4 linked regions of the Drosophila melanogaster genome follow. The protein of the gene in region 1 interacts with the protein of each later gene in a pairwise test. Each region holds a gene or a part of one and is shown on either strand. Other genes may lie near its edges.

Evidence for each region.
Region 2: the proteins of TfIIEbeta (region 1) and cerv interact in a two-hybrid assay, tested with the Drosophila melanogaster proteins (one large-scale study listed by BioGRID).
Region 3: the proteins of TfIIEbeta (region 1) and up interact in a two-hybrid assay, tested with the Drosophila melanogaster proteins (one large-scale study listed by BioGRID).
Region 4: the proteins of TfIIEbeta (region 1) and CG10621 interact in a two-hybrid assay, tested with the Drosophila melanogaster proteins (one large-scale study listed by BioGRID).

Annotation. Positions count from the first base shown.
Region 1 is NT_037436.4:4,284,280-4,289,796, forward strand, and holds TfIIEbeta (transcription factor IIEbeta), read left to right. Parts: upstream 1-2,758; 5' UTR 2,759-2,870; coding exon 2,871-2,932; exon of another isoform or gene 2,933-3,004; coding exon 3,005-3,109; intron 3,110-3,184; coding exon 3,185-3,347; intron 3,348-3,407; coding exon 3,408-3,698; intron 3,699-3,754; coding exon 3,755-4,012; 3' UTR 4,013-4,070; downstream 4,071-5,517. Other genes in the region: CG1316 (uncharacterized protein), read left to right, coding at 1-4, 68-262, 326-711, 774-837, 896-993, 1,146-1,252, 1,320-1,490, 1,568-1,639; Hexo1 (hexosaminidase 1), read left to right, coding at 4,816-4,892, 4,967-5,517.
Region 2 is NC_004354.4:15,575,747-15,581,027, forward strand, and holds cerv (cervantes), read right to left. Parts: upstream 2,426-5,281; 5' UTR 2,144-2,425; coding exon 2,065-2,143; intron 2,020-2,064; coding exon 1,406-2,019; 3' UTR 1,240-1,405; downstream 1-1,239. Other genes in the region: CG7872 (uncharacterized protein), read left to right, coding at 2,688-3,689.
Region 3 is NC_004354.4:13,598,653-13,605,228, forward strand, and holds the start of up (upheld), read right to left. Parts: upstream 3,927-6,576; 5' UTR 3,766-3,926; intron 3,714-3,765; exon of another isoform or gene 3,577-3,713; intron 3,003-3,576; exon of another isoform or gene 2,716-3,002; intron 1,466-2,715; 5' UTR 1,441-1,465; coding exon 1,418-1,440; intron 1,129-1,417; exon of another isoform or gene 809-1,128; coding exon of another isoform or gene 806-808; coding exon 764-805; coding exon of another isoform or gene 760-763; intron 1-759. UniProt on the Drosophila melanogaster protein: Troponin T is the tropomyosin-binding subunit of troponin, the thin filament regulatory complex which confers calcium-sensitivity to striated muscle actomyosin ATPase activity.
Region 4 is NT_033779.5:18,950,620-18,957,045, forward strand, and holds CG10621 (uncharacterized protein), read right to left. Parts: upstream 3,813-6,426; 5' UTR 3,653-3,812; intron 3,172-3,652; exon of another isoform or gene 2,955-3,171; 5' UTR 2,942-2,954; coding exon 2,785-2,941; intron 2,719-2,784; coding exon 2,539-2,718; intron 2,379-2,538; coding exon 1,720-2,378; 3' UTR 1,587-1,719; downstream 1-1,586. Other genes in the region: CG10428 (uncharacterized protein), read left to right, coding at 1-305; Nedd8 ubiquitin like modifier, read right to left, coding at 622-727, 788-918, 1,079-1,096; Bhmt (Betaine-homocysteine S-methyltransferase), read right to left, coding at 5,325-5,705, 5,812-6,426.

The sequences.
Region 1 (5,517 bases):
CCAAGTAAGATTAGCTTCGAGAGTACTGGCCCAAAACCATGGTCTAACTCTTATCCTCCTCTTCCAGTCGCAATCAGGGCTCAAATAAGTCTGAGAACGAGCAGGAGAAGTACGTGAGACTCTTCATAGTGATCCCCAAAACAGCCACCGAGGAGGATATTCGCGAGGAATTCTCGCAGTGGGGCGATGTGGAATCTGTCACAATTGTCAAGGAGAAGAACAATGGCAATCCCAAGGGCTTCGGATATGTCCGCTTTACCAAGTGCGTGGCGAATGTAGCATTGCTAATTGTCCTAGCCATAACTAATCTAATCTCAATGCACAGGTTTTACTATGCAGCTGTGGCTTTCGAAAACTGCTCCGCCAAGTATAAAGCTGTCTTTGCCGAGCCAAAGGGTTCTACACGCACACAGCGTGACCAGTACGGCCGTCCCTCCGAGGACAATCCCTTGTATAGCAGCTCGGGACGTGGCAATTCCAATTTCAATGGAGGCGGTAGCAGCAGCGGTGGCGGCGGCAGCAACAGCTACAACAACGACTGGAATGTATCGCAGAACAACGACATGGCGGCCTTCCTGCGCATGCAGAATGTGCCAGTGGCCCAGCCATCCTGTCTGGAGGTTAACGTGAGCAACTGCGTCAACCAGGATCAGCTCTGGCGTCTCTTCGACATAATTCCCGGCTTGGATTACTGCCAAATCATGCGCGAACGTAAGTGACCAACCCAGTGTGGGTTTCAAACCCCTTTTGAACTACTTATATCTCCGTTGTAGATGGACCGCGCACCAATGAGGCCTTAGTGGTGTACGACAACCCAGAAGCCGCCATTTATGCCAAGTAAACAAAGCCCTAAAACTCATTTTCATGCAGGCTTTAAAACACTATTCTTCTTTAGGGACAAACTTCATGGCCTGGAGTACCCAATGGGCGAACGCATCATTGTCAAAGTCAATGGAATGAGCTCAGCTCGCATGGACACATCCTTCATAGACAGTACGCGAGTTAAACCTATCAAGGGCTACAGGCCGCGCCATCACCTGTAGCCATTTATTAAACGCTTTTGCTTGGTTTATTTCTTAGCACATTTTTGGCTTAAAATGCATGATATTTCCTATTTCTAGACTTAATGTGGTTTTTTATTTTAGAGCGAACCAAAAAGGATGCCATCTGCAATGTTCCCTTGCCCCCAACTCAGCCACTGGCATCGCCGGACGACCAGGTGGCCCAACGACTGTTCATTGTGCTCTCAGCGGTAGGTATCACTGTACCGTGTCCAATTACCATTAGCTATAAACGTTGTTTCTTTCCCATCTACTCAGAACTTGCCGCATTCGATATTGAAGAACATATTCTCTTGCTGGTCGGGACTGATCGACGTCTACCTTCTGCCCAACAAGAACTGTGGCTACGTCAAGTATGCGGAGGTTGAGAGTGCTCAATTGGCCATTCGTACCCTAAACGGAGCCGAAATTTGCGGCACCAAAATCAAGGTTTGTACCGTGTACTCATGTTCTGTTGCTGACAAGCAAGCAATTCTAATCAATTTTAAATTTTTATCTTACTTTAGGTCATGGAGGCTGAGGAGCGAAGTGGCTCCGACGGCGATGATGGCGGTCGCAAGCGATTGAGACGGAACTGAGTGTAAGTAGCTAGTTGAGTATGCATAAATTCCGTATCTATTAATGTAGCCATAATTGAACTGAGTGTGTGCCGTGGTACGAGGTAAGTAGCTGTGCAAATTCCAAACCGAAAACCTTTTAGCGATTTAAGACAATGTGCGCCTGCTGCACTTGCCCTGTGCACCGGTTGGCCATCGATGTCCACGATACCCATGCCGCCCACTGAGCGCGAACATAATAAGCCAAACCATTTTTATCTTTCTATCTCCACAGACCCACTGACAACCAAGAACTTACAGAGAACGCAATGTACGAAAACGTAACTAACTTGAGCATACAGTCCGATAAAAACAGTTGAACTGACCACCAACCACCAAACAACGCAACAACCAACCAATAACCAAACAAGAACCACCACCACAACAACACTCTCCGTACGGAATGCCACATGAACCAGAACCACGGGGACTGGAGAACGCAGACTGGAAACGGAAACTGCGAACGAAGACCATACCCGGGTGAACAAACCAAACAGGCCAACGAAATCACCACACCCGTTGACTACTCTCTACCAATTGACTAACTCAAGTGGGTCTCGTACAGAGCACTCGTAGAAAGACCCATAACCCATACGACCTTTAAACGGAGCCAACGAAACCGCAATGCTCTTGCTATATACACAATATATGCATAGTGTCGTATATATGTGTACTCATACCGCTTAGGGGACTTTTGAATCTACCCGTGATACAGAAACGAACTCTCTGTGTAACTTGAACTCTTACAAACTTATTCCGACGAGATTCAGCCAAGCAATAAATTCAAACGCAATGAATTTCTTAAGAGTATCAACTCTGTCTCGTAAATTCACGCTAAGCCACAGCGTGAAAAATTATTCTTTTCATATATTAGATTTAAATAAACGATATTCTACTGTATAAGGCCAACAATAAATACACTTAAATGGAATAATGTTTTTTTTTTCTTTGGAAGCGAAATGGGAAACAAATTAATTCTCGCTATGCAGATTTTCCATATATATATAATAAATTTTTTTTTAAAAGCGAATGGACTTTTTGAAAGGTCGTTAAATGAACCAGTTCCGAAATGTACAACTTCAGTGTCGCAGCCCTGGTAAGTTCCGGTTCCACGGACAGCTGAGCAGGCATTGTTTAGATTTTGTAAATTGTTGATTTCTCGCAGCAGAAAGTTTTTTTTCGTAGAGCTAAATAATAAAAAAAAACATTCGAAATGGATCCAGCACTGCTTCGCGAACGCGAGGCCTTCAAAAAGCGGGCGATGGCCACGCCCACGTGAGTACCGCACTTGTGGCCCCTCTGATAAAGATTGCTTCTCGAAAATTACATGCTATCCTTTTAAAATAGCGTGGAAAAGAAGTCCAAGCCCGATAGACCAGCTCCACCGCCGCCTAGCGATGATTCCAGGCGCAAAATGCGCCCGCCCAATGCTCCCAGGCTGGATGCCACAACGTAAGTTCCTTGAGAGCCTCTGCTACTGCCAGAAATGGTTCTTAACCATGTGGAACTCTTGCATTCCATACTTAGATACAAGACCATGTCCGGCAGTTCCCAGTACCGCTTTGGAGTGCTGGCCAAGATTGTGAAATTCATGCGCACACGTCACCAGGACGGCGACGACCATCCCCTGACCATCGATGAGATTCTGGACGAGACCAACCAGCTGGACATTGGGCAATCCGTTAAGAATGTTAGCTACAGTGCGTGATAAGTTGTGGCAGGTTATTAAACCATTATTCCTCTATTTTAGTGGCTTGCTAGCGAGGCTCTGCACAACAATCCCAAGGTGGAAGCCAGTCCATGTGGCACCAAGTTCAGTTTCAAGCCAGTCTACAAGATCAAGGATGGCAAAACGCTGATGCGTCTGCTCAAGCAACATGATTTAAAGGGCCTGGGCGGCATTTTGCTGGACGATGTCCAGGAATCTCTACCACACTGCGAAAAGGTGCTGAAGAACCGATCAGCCGAAATACTTTTTGTTGTTAGACCCATTGACAAAAAGAAGATTTTATTTTACAATGACAGGACTGCTAATTTTTCGGTGGGTTATAAACACACTCTTCTAAAATCCCAGCCTAATCAATTGTACCGTCTCAGGTGGACGACGAGTTCCAGAAGCTATGGCGCTCGGCTACGGTCGATGCAATGGACGACGCCAAGATTGACGAGTACCTCGAGAAGCAGGGCATTCGCTCCATGCAGGACCATGGCCTCAAGAAAGCAATTCCCAAGCGCAAGAAGGCGGCCAACAAGAAGCGGCAGTTCAAGAAGCCCAGAGACAACGAACATTTGGCCGACGTTCTGGAGGTCTACGAGGATAACACACTAACGCTGAAGGGTGTGAACCCAACGTAGAATAGAGACATTAGATTATACAAATAAAAACCACTCTCAATGGAATTAAGTACACTCGAAACTGGATGTTATAAATTTGTTTAACCACTGCCAATCTAATTAAGAATCCGCTGTGGCCGAAATCTCATTCCTCAAGATTTATAGTACCAGATTGCTGTTCTGCCTGTGGCATTGAACTTAAAAATATGACGACCGGCACAGGGAAAGATAATTAAAAAGCAAAACTATGTAATCTTTTCCTGACATTCCCCATTGCTTTCCACACCTGATGGCTGGTGGTGTGCGTGTACGAGGGCCAGAATCGATGCTGGTGGGCAGTTAAATTGGCAACAGAGGGAAGCCGTAGCTTTAGTCTGCACTGAACAGCAGCCAAGTTCAGTTGGAATCGATTTGGAATAACCTATATTTTGGTACGGCGGTTGTGCGGGCTTATCAGGAAAATTATCTATATATTGGACTCTACAAATCTAAAAAAAGATTGTGTTGCTATTTGTAATCTATTAAGATTATAACAAGAGATCCGATATTCAGTATAGACAAAAATATAGCTCATACGACTCGTAAATCAGTCATATTGCAAACTATCGTTCGTCCTCTAACTTGTTCAATTTAAAAGATAGGGTATTCATAAGTGGACTTGCATGAAATCCGATTCTTTGTTTACTTGGCTTGACTCTTTGGCACGGACAATGAGCTCTCTACTCGGCGGCAAAAACTTGTTTTGAAATACTCAATTTGTTTAATTATCATTCCCGAAGCATTCGCCAGTTGGTTTTGAGAGTTTCTGTGCTGAGGTTGACGAAATGAAGTCGACGCGGACTGCACTTGGAGTGGCCCTGCTCCTGGCCCTGGTGTCTCAACTGGCGGCCCACAGCTCGGAGTGAGTAAATCAAACCTCGTATGCTATATAGATTAGGTCACTGACTTTCTCTTTGACTTGATTCCCGCATCCAGTGACTTGGTTTACGGCTACGAGTGCCGCAGTGGCTACTGCCAGAAGGTAGAGCTCAGCGAGGAGAACTACGTCAAGGCCATCAGTCTGCCCGTGTGCCGGCTCTTCTGCGGCAGCTCCATCGGCACCTTGTGGCCCAAACCGACGGGCACTGTGCGTCTGGACACGTTGATGCGCCAAGTGGACATCTCCTTCATTGATTTCAATTTCAATGGAATTGCCCGCCAGCAGAAGCTATGGCGAGCGGTTGAAGACCGTTTCATGAACATGCTCGAAGCCCAGATTCCGGATCGCAAGGTTCTGGCACGAGGTGGCTACCGTATGTCTGTGAACATCAATACTCCGGATGAGCCGACACCGGCCAGACTCACCCTGGATACGGATGAGAGCTATACGCTGGACATTGATACGGATGCCTCGGGTCATGTGCTGGCCAACATAACCGCGTCCAACTTCTTTGGAGCCCGTCATGGCCTGGAGACACTAGCCCAGTTGATTGTCTACGATGACATCCGCCGCGAGGTTCAGGTGACTGCCAATGCCACCATCAACG
Region 2 (5,281 bases), on another chromosome or scaffold:
ACCGATAATTTCGACAGGCAGCCTATCGAGGGTGTAATCGTTCTTTTGAGAACCGTTAATAATCGTGATGTGCGTCAAGTTAGCGTAGGTGAGTTAGCGTCGGTCAGTTAGTGCAGATGGCGGATCGGTAGAATTTTGAACATGGGGAAGTTTTTTATTTATTTTATTTTGTTGGGTTGTGGGCATTAGAGTGGGCGTGGCAATATGGGCATGCGCTGCGTCTATGTCTCTAGAATCTGTATGGTTAATCTCAACCTTCTAGCTTTTATAGTTCCTCAGATTTCGGCGTTCATACGGACATGATCAGATCGACTCGGCTATTGTTCCTGATCAAGAATATATATACTTTATATGGTCGGAAACGCTTTCTTCTGCCAGTTACATACTTTTTAACAAATCTACTATACCCTTTCACGAGTAACGGGTATAAAACTGAATATATTTGATAATATTATACTGAAGCTACCAATTTCCGATGCTGTAAATTGCATAATTTATTATGAAATAAAAACACTAATACTTATTATGTCAGCGGAACATAATAAGAATATTTGAGTCTAGAGGTTTTATCTCCAAGGGCATGACAACGCCATGGCAACCCTTTTTGCTTGTGTCAAGAACTCAAAAAAGAAGGCGATGACTTTGCAGTCTACAAGTCACATTTATAATTTGGCGTGAGGACCTCAGTTGATTCACATATCCGAGCGGATAATACTTAACTATTTGCAAAGCACAGCATTTTTAAGATGACCATTTCAAGAAAATGCTTTACGCATACAAGTTGATAGGTTTTCTAAACGAAACAATGAAGTCCTACGATTCTTCATAGAGCTCACCGATTTCATTATTCCGTTCACCGCTCCCGATAGATTCTTCGTTATTTGTAGAGATTTCCAGCGCAAGTCGCCAACAGCTGGCCCATTGACCAAGGCACCCATGCCGGAAGCTTTTTCCGGCAAAAAACCAAAAACAATGAGGAAGCAGCCATGCTGAAGGACCCCATGGCTTGCGGGGATTCAGAGCCGAAGCTTAGCAATGGTAAATCAGTCTGGATCTCCTCTGAAGATAGTAGCGATCCGGATAATGACAAGGTGCCATTGGTGCCATATGAGTCTGATGTGGATCGTCTGCGGCAAAGACTCGCTAGAATGTTTCGGCGATGATTTCGATGGCAATCGTGCTATATATTCATTTGTTTCTACATTTGTACCAATTTTCTAAATAAATCGCAAACTATATACATACGTGCATACTGCACTTCTAATATATTTTCTCTAAATTTTTTCGGGACTATTTTTAAAACATGTTTATTCGTTGTACCTTAAATTTTCATCAAATGGTTGTCTTACAAGAACGTGATATCTTACGCTGCGTTATTAGTCGACAAGAAGGAAGTTGCGCATAATTAATGATCTGCCTGTTCATCGTCCTCCTCCGAGGAAGTTTCTTTCTCGATCGCGTCAGACATGCGCTCTTGCAACTTCTGCTGTAGGTTGGAGTCCTTGACCAGGTGCGCTGGATGGATGTAGGACCTGTTGGGACAGCCGAGCACTGGGCATCGAATACCAATGTTGTCCGTGATGATCAGCATCACCGAGTCGCGGTCGTAGATGTGGCCGCACTTTTTGTTGCGCACGGGGTTCTTTATCAAGGCTTTGGACCAGGGATCGTAGAGCGAGAAGACCTCGCCGCCGGTGGCTTCCATGATAAGGTCCTCGTCATGGGCGGCGCTATTCGCTTGACCATTTGTTTCCGCACCCGCCTGGGGAGCTGCCGCTTTCATGAAGTTTTTGAACTCGGCTGAGTTCTTGACATCGATGCGCTTCTGCTCCACCGCTTCGGAGCGCTCCTTCCAGACTTCCTCGAACTTCTCGATGGTGTTGCTAGAGTTTTTGGCATGCTTCATAGCCTTGCTGAGCAATTGGTGCTTGCTCTTCATTCGGATGAGATTCTCGGCGAGATCCACGTTCTGGTCCAACAACTTCTGGATCTCCCTGCCATCACTGAAATCGGACACGACTGTGGGTAGGTTTTAAAGATGTCTCAGTGTGTCGCATGGCTTACCTTCTGCCATTTCTTTGAAGAACTTTTGGTTTTCCAATAAAGTGGTAAGTGCCGAATCCACATGGTAATTGAAGTCCATTTTAAAGCCCAGATTCTATGCAGACGCTTTGCAAATTGCAAATCCAGAATATTTGGATCCAAATGTTCAAGACTGACGCTTAGCTAGGTTCAGCTAGGACCGATAAGTTCGATAGGCAGCCTAACGAGGGTGTAATCGGTATTTGGCGAACTGTTAATAATCGTGGTGTATAAGCATGGATTTTATGCCTGAAATTTAAGTAAAATAAATGTGCGTCAAATTAGCGACTCTAAAATAAAATGTAAAATGAGTTAACTTAGAGTGACCATATCCCCAACATACGGTCTTATCCACCCGCGAGCTATCGCGGTTATCGGTGTTATCGGCCAATGTCAACCTGGATAACGAGCGGCGGCCAACTTTTCAGTGTGCCAAACGCCGAGCAGACGGACGAGCAGCGCCAGCGCGACCGCCACTGCCACCAGTTGCTGCGGACCAATCCAAGTCACAACCAATCCGCTCCGATCCGATCCCAGCCAACGAGTGCCAGCTGTGCGCCCCAGCTGCAGCTACACGTGTCCCCAGGGTGAAAGCGCTATCCAAGATGCGGACGCACGGACTACGGTTGGTGCTCTTGGCCCTGCTGCCCACGATGGCCCTGGGCCTGCTAGAGGGCCTGTACTGTGGCAAGGAAAACTGTTACGACGTGCTGGGCGTCACCAGAGAGTCGTCCAAGTCGGAGATCGGCAAAGCATACCGCCAGCTGGCGAGGCGCTATCATCCAGATCTGCATCGGGGTGCCGAGGCCAAGGCGGCGGCGGAGACGCAGTTTAAGCTGGTGGCCACCGCCTACGAGATCCTGCGCGATGAGGAGTCGCGCACGGACTACGATTACATGCTGGACAACCCGGATGCATACTATGCGCATTACTATCGCTACTACCGGCGACGCGTGGCGCCCAAGGTGGATGTGCGCGTGGTTATCGTGGTCGTCCTAACCATTGTGTCCGTCATCCAGTACTATTCCGGCTGGCAGCGCTACGATTCTGCCATCAAGTACTTTGCCACGGTGCCCAAGTATAGGAACCAGGCCCTGGAAATAGCTCGCGACGAGATCCAGGAAAAGATCCAGAAGAAGGGCAAGAATCGTATGTCCAAGAACGATCAGCGCGATGAGCTGGAACGGATCATCCGGCGGGTGATCGAGGAGAAGATGGACGTTAAGGGCGGCTATGCGAAGCCGACACTCTGGGATGTGCTGTGGGTGCAGCTGATCATCTGCCCCTACACGATACTCTCGTTCATCGTGTGGCACGCTCAGTGGTTCTGGCGCTACACGGTAATGAAGCAGCCGTATGGCCGCGAGCAGAAGCTCTACCTCATCCGCCGGCACCTGGGCATGGGCCAGCATCAGTTCGAGGCGCAGGAGGACAAGCTGATCGAGGAGTACCTGCATCTGAAGCTGTGGAAGCGCGAGAACTTCGTCGCCTGGAAGGCAGAACAGGAAGAGGAGATGAAAAAGAAGCTGGCGGAGAATCCACGATACAAGGCGTACAGGCGATACATGAAGAACCACGGACCCGGCCGCATCACCTTTGAGGATTAGCCGCTGCTCTGCGATGTTCAAGTTTCATTGTTCCATCTAAAAGTCTGTTGTGTGCGTGTTGTAAAACCGATCCCAAATTCCTCGCCCTCGGCATCCCCATACCGTCTAAATTTTGATACATTTATATATATATATTTAGAAATTTTTTGTACACCAACTATATCAATATGAATTATGTTAATGTCCCGGTGTTGTCCGCCAAAGGGCGAAACGTTGACCCCGCCGGAGCGATCCGCCAAAACCGGTTCAAGAACGTGGCCACGTTCGGTACGCGTCGGCACAGTGTCCACTGGCTGCCGTGAACGAACCATCCTAGAACAATTATACCCCTACCTGGCTGGTCACAAAAAAAGCACGCCACATTCGCGTGTTTCCTAACTAACTTGACTAAACCGATTACTGTAATAAACTAGATAAAATTCAAACGTCTCTCTTACTGGTTGTTCACTGTGCCTGGTTTGCACAGTTGTTCTGGATGGCCAAAAATTCGATCTCGTGGCATTTATTCGCTCTAAACAGCATCTCTCCGTGCTTTTGTTTACACAGTTTGCTTAGAAACAATTTCGTTTTTTATTGTTTCTTGGTTTGGTGCGGTTGCTGAAAGTTAAACTTAAGTACGTGCTTGAAAATAAGCTGAAGAGTAAAGAAGTCTAGATTTTTCAATGGTAGCCTTCAAATAAAGTTGATTTGTTTTGCGAAATGCTGACTTTAGTTTCGGATACATGCGTGTGGCTCTTGCATTTCGCTATTCGCAGTTCACGTATACCAATTTTTATTTAAACATGTCTTCAAAGTCCTCAATTTGTTTAAAGTAATATAACAGCATAAGGTAGTGAAATAATAAGCATTTATTACCTTATCATTTCTTCTAAAGAATCAAAGTCCTCAAGTTGTTTAATGTAATATAATAGCATAAAATAATAAACATTTACAATCGTATAATTTCTTCTAAAGAATCAAAGTCCTCAATTTGTTTAAAGTAATATAACAGCATAAGGTAGTGAAATAATAAGCATTTATTACCTTATCATTTCTTCTAAAGAATCAAAGTCCTCAAGTTGTTTAATGTAATATAATAGCATAAAATAATAAACATTTACAATCGTATAATTTCTTCTAAAGAATCAAAGTCCTCAATTTGTTTAAAGTAATATAACAGCTTAAGTTACTAAACTAATAAACATTTATTACCTTATCATTTTTTCTAAAGATTCAAAGGCCTCAGATTGTTTAAGGTAATATAAGCATAAAGCATAACTTACCAATATAATAAACATGTATTAACTTTTCATTTCTTCTAATGAATTGTTAAACAATAAATCCCTTTAAAGTAGCTAGAATATAAATGCACATTGTTAACTACTTATTGTGGGTTTGTAAGGTTCTTCGCAATTGCTCCCCAAATAATATTCGCATTAAGTAATATTCCATTCACATTACTATATATGTTCTATTTAAAGCCACTTTCCATAAAAAATAGCCAATATTTCATAAGCTTTCTATCCGAATATCTCCATTTTATTTACACCGATTTCTTAGAGCTACGCTTCTTAGCCTGGTTGTCTAAATGGTACGGGGTGGGGAAGTTTGGG
Region 3 (6,576 bases), on another chromosome or scaffold:
CGCAATATTTGTTCTATTTTTATAGAAAATTACTACTACCATTATTTTGAACACAGTTTCATACACATGTGGTGGGTGGTGGTGGTGGGGATACACACAGCTTTTATATACACAATTTGCCAATTTTTCGCTAGGTTTTTTTTTTCGGGAGGGGGTATGAACTATGAACTCGCTGCTTGAGTGGGTGTGGGGTGAACAGTGGGTGGGTGGGGTTTGCTCTCGGGTTCCATTAGTAAATTTTGTACAATTATCGGATATTGATTTTGTGATCGTATACTTTTAATTCTAAATTCAATTTTGGTTTTTATAGACACACAACAACACATTGAAAACAAAAACCAAAAGAAATAACAAAAATGTACACAAAACAGAATAAAAAATAAAAACTAAAGATAAATTAATAAACAAATAAAATTATTTACAGACGAGTACACAAAACAAAAATGTTGGGTTGGTTTCGGGTTTCTGGGTGTTTTTTTTTTTTCAAATCTTTTTTGGGGAATACATATTTCTACCAATTTTAAAAAAAGGGTGGTTTTTTATATTGCAGACATTGACAAAATACAACACATATAGAAAATTTGGAATACAAAATGGTGGGCAAGGTTCGGTTTCGAAAAAAATCAAAAAATTTGTTATAGTTAGGGCAAAAACAAAAAAAAAAAAAAGATAGACATAAGTGAACACCAATCGAGTTCTTTAGGCTGCTGCACCAAAACCAACAAAAGATGTCGACAAAAATCGGCAACAAAAATGTACTTACGTCTCCTCGCGGGTTTCCTCGACAACCTCCTCCTCCTCGGAGCTGCTTTCGAGTTCGTAATTAAACGAATTTTGGTTTTTTTTTATATTTTTTGGTTTAAGATTTTTGAATAAGGTGTTTTTTTTTATATATATATTTTGGAGTGAAAGTGCAGGGTTACACACGGCACACGGGTGCAGAGGTGATATTGTTGATTTGTTGTTGAATTGTCGTGTGGTTGTTGTTGAATAGTTGTTGATTGTTATTAGTTGTTGATTTCAAAAGAAACGAAACGACAACATTAGCGGTTGTTCGAACAGATTCATGGGTTGTGGTTGTGGAGGTTTTTGGGATCGTGGTCGGTTTTTCGGTTCGGGTTCAGGGATGACAATGCGTGGAAATAGATAGAAAGGAGTACAGATCAAAATAGGTGCCACTGGTAAATGTGATTACAAAAAGTTCTCTTACAAGAATCCACAAAAATCTGATCGTTGAATTAGTTAGTACGTATAACAACAAGGGTTCAAACGAGACCATCGAATACTTCTCTTCAACTTTGCTACTTTACTTAAGTTATCTGTTTACTTTACACACTTTTAAATCTTGTTCGCGGTCATACGCGTCGTATACTTAATATTTGCATCTTGTCCTACATATTCCATGGGTTCTACTTACGTGTACTCTTCATCGTCGGACATGGCTACGGTTTAGGGTTGAAAAAACCTGCAATAACAATATATAGAAAATAAAAAGTTTAGTTTAGTCTTCAAATGCATATATTTAAGATTAAATTAGGAAGCCATTGTAATAGAATAGGAAAGACACCAAAAACGTGAATGTGTTCCATTATTATATTTCTTTTTGAATTCAATTGATATTAAAAATAATGCTTATTAAATATAACCCCTTTTTTAGCCAAAGCAGCAACAACAATAGAACAGCGAAATACAGGTGTGCAAACAAGTCAACAAATGATTGCCCTTTTTGATAACCCCTTGTCTATTTTCTATTCAGGGTTTCACTGTACTTGAAGCAGCCTTTGATCGCCCTGCGATAACTCTATATTTAGACGGATCTTTCCCCCTATATATATGTATATAATATATATGTATATGCGATTCCGCTGTGTATATGTAGGCAGGGCGACCTGTCTTTTTATAGCCGGCAACAATGTCTCGTCCTCACATCATAATCTTTCAAATTCAAGAAGAAAAAAATAAACGATAAATTCCGTACGCTCTGCTCTAAAATTATTTAATTTCCCATGCTATCTATATCCACAATCTATAACTGTGTGTGTGCGAAGGAGAGAGTCGTAGTCCAATCTATGTATGTGTGTTTTTTCATTTTCCTCCGATTTTTTCTCAATTAAAAATAGACTTTGGGGCAGTATTGAATTTCCCGAGAGCCGAAAGCTTCCGAAAACATCAAAAAGCTTCGGACAAAGCCTTTTTTGAAAATTTTCGTTTTTTTTTTTACCTTGGCACTAAATCGGAAAATCTAAAGAAGCTTTTCAATTTATATATGTATATGTATTGATATATATTTGGGCGTACTTGTGTGTAATGAAAAGAAAATCAAATCAAATGCCATTCATAGATCGCCTGTATATATCTATGCCAGTTATTATGCCACGAATTTATATATTTAATATGCTATTTGAAATTTCTATGATTATGAATATTCTATTTCTATAATCTTTGCACTTTTGCGTGGAAGTGCAATTGCTGAGCTTGTATTTTTAGCCTTAGATAAACTGGGTCAGTTTTGGGGCAAGTGCTTGGAAATGATGTGAAATGTATTGAGAAAAGTTCTGGAAAAATTGAACAAACTTTTCAATTGAAACTGGTAATGATCTAAATATCATCCGACAGACTATCAGAAATATACGTCTATCGTCTTTTCACACTTACATATACAAAAATGTTACTGATCATACATGTTAGTTTCAAAAACATGGTTTTGAATCTTACTTTTTGTCTTTTCAAGTTCAAAGTTTGAGTAAGTGTTAGCTACTTCCTGCCTAGCAACATAAAACTGTCATATGCTGTTTTTATATCCTGTCATTATATCCTTATCGAATTTACTCTACAAATTTCCCTTTCTTTAATTCAATCTATCTGTGCCCTGTTTCCATTTATAGTCCTATATATATCCTCCAAAAATCTCCAGATCTCTATTCGCCATCGATCTTGTGTGGGTGGCTATAGTTCCGTCTCGTTTTCGCCTACTATATCTTTAACATATCTGATCGGCGCCTGCGCGGAAAGCTATTGAAAAAAGTTTTCACTCTACGTATCTGTGTGTGTGTGTTTCTCTGTGTGTGTGTGTGTGTGTATCTTGGACATTTTGCCAAGGTAAAAACACACTCGCTCGCGCACACATACGAATCGAATTTATTTTTAAAATTCGTCGAAAAAAATTTGAGAACTTTTCCTCTCAGATCATATAACACTTTCAGAAAGCAAAAAGATATACATATATGTATATGTATATTTATATGTATAGATTCCTGTCTGGCATTGTTGTTGCTTTTGATTTTGTTGTTGTTGTTGCTGCTGCGGCTAATCCTGTTGTTGTAGTTGCCGTTGAATATTGTTTTTGGCGCCGCCAATGCCTGGGCGAATTTTTTCAAATTATTTTTAGCCTTTAGCCATAATAAAAAAAAAAAGTTTAAAAAAAAAAAATTTTTTGAAAAAGTTGGCTTCAGAGTTCGTTTTTTTGGTGGCTTTCAAGTCATTTATTCGCACTATTTGTTCGTAGATTGCACTTTAAAAAAATTTCAAAAAAAAAAATAAAATGTTATATAACACTAGGATTTTCCAATTCGTAACTTTCTTTTGTTGATGTTCGTGGTTCGTGGTTTATTCGCAAAGGATTCGGTTTTCTCGTTTTCGATAACTTTCTTTTCGTTTTTAGGCACACAAGTTTATTTTATATTTTCTTTTTATTTTTTTGGTGATGCAGCATTTGAAGGAGATGTGAAGCAGCAGTAGAGCAGAAACAGAAAAAAAAAAACTTACTTAGGGAGAAAAACAAATTGAATTGAAGTCCGAGCAGCTGACGTCGTAGGAGCGAATGCTGCGGTTCGACTAACCAAACTGACGATGAAAAGCGCTGCTACACGTTATGTTAAAGAATTTTTCGTCGCGTTCGCGGAAAAGCCATTTCCACGCACACACCGATCGCCTTTCTATATAGCCAATAGCTGGCCATGTGTGCGAGCAGGCCAGCGCTATATGCCACATATCGCTGGCCGATGTGGCAACAAGTGGGTGGTGGTGGGTGCGCCTGCCTGTGTTGGCTGTGTTCGATGTGTTTTGGGTGAATTTTTCAGGTGGGCTGCAGCTGAAACATAAACTTGTACACGCACACAGCCGCCGTCGAGTTTTCCAATTTTCCATTTTGGCCAGAGCGAGATGAGGCATACGATATTAGTATATACTATACATTAGACCATAATGGCGCACGCACATAACTAGATCATACAATAAGTATATAGCGCATACGGACGTTCGGTGCGTTGGCGGCATTTTACACATTTGTTTTTGGAATCAAATATCGTAGAGCATAAATTTCACAGCCATTAAAAAGTCGGCCTGCATATATTGCTCTATAATATATACGTACAGATGTTCGTGCCGATATATAGCACATATAGTTTGGATTCCTCAGCGGATCGTTGCAGCATTTGAACCCCAGAGTGCACGCCCTACAAAATCTCCAACCCAGTCCGCCGCGATCACCGATCACCCCCTATATATATATATATATATATATATATTTATTTACCTATATCTATATCGCGATCGAACTGCTGACGTCGAACGGCCTTAGGTGGCCCCATCGCATTGCCATTTGTCTAACACTTGAATCTATTCGTCATTGTTCCGATTTTCTTTTTTTATTTCTCTCCTTTTTCTATGCTATTTTTTTTATTTTACTTTCTAACAGATACTTTTGGCAAATAGTTTCAGATACACTTACGCGCCTTGCAGCACTTTAAGCTATCGAATTTAATTCATTCTTTATTGGGTTATTTTTTCGAAGCATACAAAATCAATTTGAAGAATTTGACAAAATCTCTTTTTCCTATATGTAAATTTTGCCAAAAAAATTAATTTTTTCATATCGTTTAATAAACATCATAACACATAAGAAATATTTGTATTAAGTAAGGGTAGTGAAACATATTTTGTTCTGTATTTAATTTTGTTTCTGTATTCTAGTATTAATAAAATTAAAATAAAGCAAAAACTTACAATATTTTAAAAATGTACTTTCATCAACATCGATTTCCGTTGTTTTTTTTTTTGCCAAATTTTTCATAAAATTAGATATAAATTCTAGAAGAATATAAAAAAAAAAAAAAATTTTTAGTTTTTCGCTTGCACTTGTATCTTCTTAAATTATTAATACTGCAAAAAAAAATATTTGGGCTATCTCAAAGTTCCTCAAAATCTGGGTAAAAATTTTTATACATACATGATTACATTATATATGATTACATTACATTATATTATGATTACATTACATTATATATGATTATAGAAAAATTAATTTAAGACTTCTCTTAATTCCTTGCATAAACAAGTTGTTCAAATAAATAGACTTCTGTGTAAATTAAAAACATGCGATGAATATTATTTTAAAATTATATATATTACAATATTCTCCAATAGTAAAATTACTATATAGTCGCAAAGTTTCGGCATTTGTTTTGATTTCGTTTTTGGTTACCAAGTATCTTAAATTTAGAACATTTTTGTATCTGCACCTCTGCGAAATGCAAAATGCACACACCAGATACGCAGATAGATAGATATGTATGCATAGATAATTAGATATGTATGTGTATGTGATATGTATGGGTCTAGGTATTATGCATGGCTTGCCAAAAACCACAAAACTACAGAATCGCAATGGGACACAGGTGGGCAGTTCGAGTTATCTGGGATTTAGTGCATGAAATGGTACGGGCGTGTTCTGTCCAGATATAAACGACATCTGTAAGCGCTTTTTTAGCTGCTTCCAATTTTTGCCTGCCATCTGGCTGGATTCACATAACATCCTCCGTTCAATAAACAACTACGAACCTATTGCAAACATCGGGCCAAATAGCTCAGTGATCCGTAGACCAGAAGTACGGACATGTGCAGATATATACATATGTGGGCGTGAAAGTGGGTGGAAAGTCGGGTATGCCGTATGCCGTATTCAAGTAAATTTCAATTCGCATCATCTTCTGAATGTCCGAATATCAGAATGTTAGAAAGGCAAGTCAGAATATTCGAAAATCAGGGAATAACAAATAGCACAGTTTCGAATTTTTGTTGTTCTATTTTTGGACGTTTTGTGTGGGCGCTATTCGTCTGTAGCCTTCGGTTTTTAGTGCCGATCGTATGCACGAAGATGCCCGATATAAAAAATATATATATATATATATATATATTAAAGTATGTATATGTATTTGTTTAAATATCTTCTATATGTCTATCTATAGGTTAGCTTTCTGGGGCGATGTTTACGGGGAACTGTGGCTAATATCTGCATAGATCAGGAATAACATAAACATTATCCAAGATCTGGAAAAATATTTGATTTCAGACAAGAACGATGGCCCTGGGATTATATGAATGAACAGCGTATCCAAAGTGTCGAATAATTTGAATTGATTGCAATCGGTGCAATCTTAAATAATAAGCTATTGTTGGCTGTGTCACTTGCATTTTTTTTCTACTGTGTATGATGCAAGAAAACAGTTAAAATTCTGAAATATGTTCTTTTCAATTTTAGATTTTAGTGACCAGAATAGTAAGAGCTTCCTATTATAA
Region 4 (6,426 bases), on another chromosome or scaffold:
GCTACGGTTCTCTGCAGCCCATGCCTCACATTTCGTACCCATTGAGCAAAGCGTTCCAAAAGGTGTTAGACACAAAGGACTACTTGTACATTGCCCACTCGGCAGATCAGGCACACGAGATGGGGACAACCAACTGCAAGCCAGAAACCACGCTTCAAGGACTCCACTGCATGTCCGTGGTGGACACCGATCGCCTGCTGCAGGCGGAGGAGGCGGGCTACCAGGTCATTCTCACACGCTTAAAGCCCGAACAGTGTACGCCAAAGAATCACCTGCTAGTCGGACGTTTTGTTAAACAGAACTGAACTTACAATCTGCCACTGAGACAAAATAAATGCCTTTTTGATATGTTTTAAACCTTAGCCCACCATTGTGGAGTGTTCTTCTTTTTTTCGAATGATTTAGATGTTGGCTTACAAAAAAACATGTTTTATTACGGACCCGGTTGGCCCCAATCCATTCTGTCTAAATTCCTCCGATGCGAATACACTTTGTTTTCTTCTAAACCACTTTTAAGACTTCTTTTTAGTTTACATATATTAATTCTCCATATGACGCTTCTCAAGCTTAATATATTTGAGTGAATTTTAAATGAATGTTTTCCACTTATGAACACGCTAGTTACACACAAGGTGTTAGGATTGAATCACCTCCTCGCAGAGCCAATACCAAGTGAAGAACGGATCCACCTTGCACTTTGTAGTCCGCCGCGGTTTTATCGTCATTCCTGGGGGGGATCGCATGCGAAATAAGCTAAAATCAATGACCAATAGCCAGAAAGACTCACATTTGCTTGCCGGAGAAAATAAGACGCTGTTGCTGGGGCGGAATGCCTTCCTTTTCCTCCACGCGCTCCTTGATGCGATCTACCTTGTCCGTGGGCTCAATGTCGATCTCGATTTCCTTGCCGGTCAGGGTCTAATGGAAAGATAATACATATTTACATTAATAATCCAGCCACACATATATTGACTGTAATATTCGACGATTTTGTTGTTGTTCAAAGTGCCCGCTGGGCACGATGGCTGTGATTTATCTTTATCCTACTTTTTTGCTACTCCATATCTTCCACACTAACCTTCACTTTGATCAACATTTTGTGTGTATTTAACTAGGCGCTCCTGTACAAATTCAAAATTGCCGAAATTTTTGCAAATCTCCACAGCTGGTTCTCTTTTTTGGCTGTCACTTTCGGCGTTGGTACGACTGGCAACTATCGATAGTACTGTCGATGACCATCGATTGTTTTCCACACTATTACAAATATAGTATTTTCTCCATCATTCCATCTCTACACAATTCACGTGTAAAAAAATACATTTCGAAAAAGGAGAACTTAATTTATGTAAATTTTTTGTAGCTTGATTTATAGTGTGCCCATTACGGTTAGAAGTCTCACATATTTAGAATTCAAATTCTCCTTAAATTATTTTACTCATGAGATGCAAAAATCCATTGAATGCCATTACTACATTTTTTAACTTTTGAAAAAAATGGAAGGCGTCACTTTTGAGGGATTTGAATTAAGAGCAATTTGTTTATTAATGTTTTATCTCGGATCTTAGAAAATTAAAAAGTATTTTTTTGTCTTTTGTCTTTTCTGTTTTATTAAAATAAGTTGTATGCCTTAATAACTAAATACATTTATTTACAGTACTAAATGGATAACTACTTTGTTCTTTTCGAAGGTACTGAGATCCCCAGCTTAGAAGTTCATCCCTATGAGAGCTTCTTCAGTTTGTTCCAGTCGCGAATGGCCTCCCCGATGTGGCGTATATCCCTCGCATAAGTGCGACAGCATCCCCCAATGACCTTGGCCCCCAGTTGCGCCCACTCCGGAACGTAGTTCGCCAAGGGCACACAGTGCTCCCTTCCCTGCCAGCCGTTGACCACGTCGTATACCTCTCCGCTATTGGGGTACACCACCAACGGTATCTGCTCACCCACTTCGCGGTCACCATTCAAACTCTTAAAGAGCGGGGTCACAAACTTCGGATGCACACAATTTACTCCGATGGCCAGGCACTTATCCTGGGCATTTCGTTCAGCCAAGAGGTCCCAAATAGCATTCGCCGCGTCCGCAAAGGTTTCTCCATGCGCCAGGGTATTCTCATCCTTGCACTGGAAGGCCACCCAGAACTTCACATCCGGATAATCATCGCACAGCATCTCCACCAGGGCCTCCGCCTCCATTTGACAGGGAATCGTCTCGATGGCCAGCGCATCCACACCAGCCTCCAAGCACGCTTCGATCCTCACGCGATGCCAGTCCGTAATCTCCTTGGCCGGCACAAAGTCGGCATAGCTACCGGTGTACTCGGAGCCATCGTGCAGGTGGGCCCCAAAGGGTCCAATGGAGGCAATGATCAAAGGGTATCCTTTAAAAACAATAAATTGGAATATATAATTGGTAAATATTACTATATATAAAATAAAGTATTAAAGAAAGTATTAAAAGTAATGACCCTACCACATCATTCACTTGACCACAATCTAAATTAATCCCGCCCGAGCTGGACCTCATGGATGTCAACTTACCCTCCTGCACCGACAGCTGCGCCTGATAGCACTCGGTGAGATAGCGTTCCTTGGCGATGTGGGCCAGGCGGACCGTGTTCTTTATCAGCTCGATGCTCTGCTCCTCGTCCAGCTCCAGGTACTCCATGTAACCATCGACACTGGACTGGTAGGTGTTGGTCAAAATGATATCGGCACCATCTGGTGTTGTCAAGGGGAAAATTCAGTTAGTATGTTGCCAATTGCTACCGGAAAACAATTGCTTACTCTGCAAAAAGTCCAGGTGGGTGCTGATAATGGCCGCCGGATTGGTGGCATTGAAGCGGGCACTCCATAGCGGATCCCCATCCACAGAGTCACCCACATGGACGGTCATCTGGGTGCCGAAACCGCCATCCTTCACCAGCACGCGCGTCAAACCCATGATTGAAAGATTACTAAGAGGGGTGGAGGATGATCCGTTGAAAATTGATTATTAGTTACATTTCTACGTCAGCGGGCTGCGAGATAATTAAATATGTATATTGCGTCTGCCACCTGGATTCCACTGCACTCAGGGCGATGTTATACAATGTATCGGAAGAACTAATCTCTATTTTTCAGTTCAACGAACTTGGCAGAACAAAAGACCAGTGGCTTAATCTAAAAAACACACTGAGAAAAACAGCTCAAAGTTCTTTAGCTAAGATATATGTTATATGAGTCTTATGATTTATTATAAAAAAGATTTAATTCTAGGAGTATTCAGCTTTCACTGAATAGTATACAAATTTAAAACCAAGGTCACATTTTTACGTATCTCAATAAATGGCGAGTTAAAAGCCTGAAACATTTTATTCTGTATACGCTAAATTCAAAATATACATCAGCTCTTTAAAATTTGGCAACAATTTTTGAGAAATATATATCTTTTAAAGTGAATCATTTATTACGTTTCAAGATCTATTCTTGTTCCAAATTAAAAAATATATTAATATTTAATATATGTAAGTATTCCAAGCATAACATTTTTAGATTGCTTATAAGATCCCTTTGTTGCACTTTTAAGCATACTCCTTGGATAGTGTATACACCGTCTGTCATCAAAATCTATCGGTAGGGAAGCGAAAAACACACGATAAGGTCTCGCACTCACCTTGACAGCTTGTTTATGGATCTTGTAAATGGGCAAATTCAATAACAACTTTATTAGACACTAGACTGGCTGGTTGGTTATCAAGTGGTTATCACAAATCTTTCGGAACGGTGGATATGATCAGTCGCAATGGACGCTCGACGAACGTTTAAATGTTTCACGTATCGTCGAGGGGCTTTTATACTTTCCGAAGGGCCACTCAGCTGTGCGGCTCGGCTTATCAGGGCGAAATTTATAATATTTATAATAATTTATAACAAAACAAAACGGCAAACACAAACATGAGAGTGCCCCCACCAAGTGGGTGATAAGCCCGGTGCACAGCTGCCAGACGCTGGCCAGCCAGATTGGATTGTCCGGGTGGACTGCGACTCCCCCTCCACGAGGCTGATGAAGCTGATGAAATCGTCAAAGCGCCGCTGTGCGTGGTTCTGGCTTCCGAGTGACTCTGCTCGGGATGTCGCATCTGCTAAGTCGACGCCGATAACCTCTGGACGCCGCCTAGGACCAACACTTCAAGATGTACTTGGTTGTTGACTCTGTCCTCCTTAAAGGAAAATGGGTGAGCTTCCGACCGCACTCAATAGATTATGGTCCAAAAATAGGTCTACTGATGTCAAAGAGAAAAACAACATTTAACCCCTATTCTGGTAAACAAATCGCTAATGAACAGGAAATAAGACATAAGATATATCAAATAAAATCTCCTCTAAAAGAGATGAGCTTAAAGTGATGATTGTTATTAATATTTGGACAAAAAAAAAATAAATAAATAAATAAATAAATAAAGTAAAATGTAAAGTAAGAGATTGACCGACAAAAGGCTTTCAATTTGAAAATGGCCGTTAAAATCATGTTTTTTGAACGAAGTATCCGATTAGGCTGATTGCCAGATTGGGTCAGAGTGCAATAGGTGGACATGTGGCTCCACCATCCTCAAAAGCTTCAACAGCCAAAAATGTAAGTACTCTTTTAAAAATGCGGTATGAAGTTCCAAAAAATTTTGAAATATCTTTCATAGTGATAAAGTCGAGAACCGCAAGAATAGAAGGGCATACCCTTCTCTATAAAGTACCTTGCGTACCAGAAGGCGTTTGCCTTGGTACATATGTAAGAAGTGATTAGATTTGATGAATCTCTAATGAAGATATTATTTTAATACTGTACTAAAAATATGATATATTGAAGATAACTAAAACAACTATTTTTGATATTTTTGTAGTTTATTGCTTTACATCAGTACATACATACACACTTTTAACAATATTAATTTTAAAGAATTTAAATCCGGCTATAAAGAATAGAAAGCTAAGAACACAGCAAGTTTTTCAAAGGACAAATGCACGTTTTTGTGTTATAATTGAATAGAAAATTGTTTTGATTTGGACTCAAAAATTGAGCTAGGTTGGCAAAAACAGTCGTTGGGCGAACGTCTGCCCATATCCCCAGCCCACTTGTTTACCTTTGGTCCGCCCGCCTAATCTGTGTTTGTCTCCCAGCCAGCCGTCCACGCTTTTTTCCACACTCTGCTGATTAGGAAGCCATCTGATCTGGGTACATCTAGTACTCGCGTATATGTATTTAGCAAACTAAATAGGTCTAGGTCTAGTCACACGAAACAGCTTTCGCATTAGCGACAAGGCTGCTATCAGTGACCGGAGTTCTCTCCCGATTACGGCTTTATGTTGAGGCCATCGACGTACTTGCGGATCGCCAACACGTCCGTCGGATAGACCCGGCAACAGCCGCCAACGATGCGCACTCCCAGCTGGATCCACTCGGGCACAAACTTGACCACCTCCTCGCCGGTTCCAGTCCAATCTCCCTGCTCGACGTCGTAGATCTCGCCGCGATTGCTGTAGACCACCAGTGGGATGCGATCCGAACCGGCCACTTTGGTAAGCGATGATAGCAAAGGGGTCACGAATAGTGGGTTTACACAGTTCAGACCGATCCCAAGGAGCCGGTTCTCAGCCTTCCGACTTTGGACCAACCGCCAGAGGGAGAGAGCCGCCTCCGCGAAGTTTTCTCCACTAGCCATGTGCTTTTCATCCTGAAAATATCGGAACATAAAGTGGATTTTTAAATGTAATTGAACGATATATTTTTTACCCTTGTTTTGTATAAAGAATGTTATTGTTTTTTGCGATATTACTCACCATGCACTGCAGGGAGACCCAGAATTTGGCATCCGGAAAGTTGTCCAGTACTAATTCGGTGACTGCCTCTGCCTCCATCAGACATGGAAGTGTTTCCAGGGCCAATCCATCCACTCCAGCTGCGAGACAAATCTCAATTCTTGTCTTGTGCCACGCCCTCAGCTCCTCCTTGGACATCTTGTCCGCATAGTTGCCGGTGTACTCAGATCCATCGTGGAGATAGGCGCCATATGGACCTATTGAGCCCATGATCAGTGGAAGAGCCGACTCCGCTTCAGAACCGATTTCGCTAAGGTACTGTTCCTTTGCCTGCTTGGCCAGTTGAACGCTCTTTTGGATCAACTCCACACCTCGTTCTCTGGTCACGCCCAGGTACTTCACGAATCCCTCGACGCTGGACTGATACGTGTTGGTTAGAATAATATCCGCTCCGTTGCGAAGAAAGTCCAGATGTGTTTGGATCACAGCTTCCGGATTGGTGGCATCGAATCGCGATCCCCACAGTGGATCACCGTCCACTTTTTCGGTGACATTCTTGGCCAATTGCGAGGAGAATCCTCCGCATTTGACCAGAATTGGCTTGGTGTCCCAGTTCCATTTTTGATTCACTTCCAT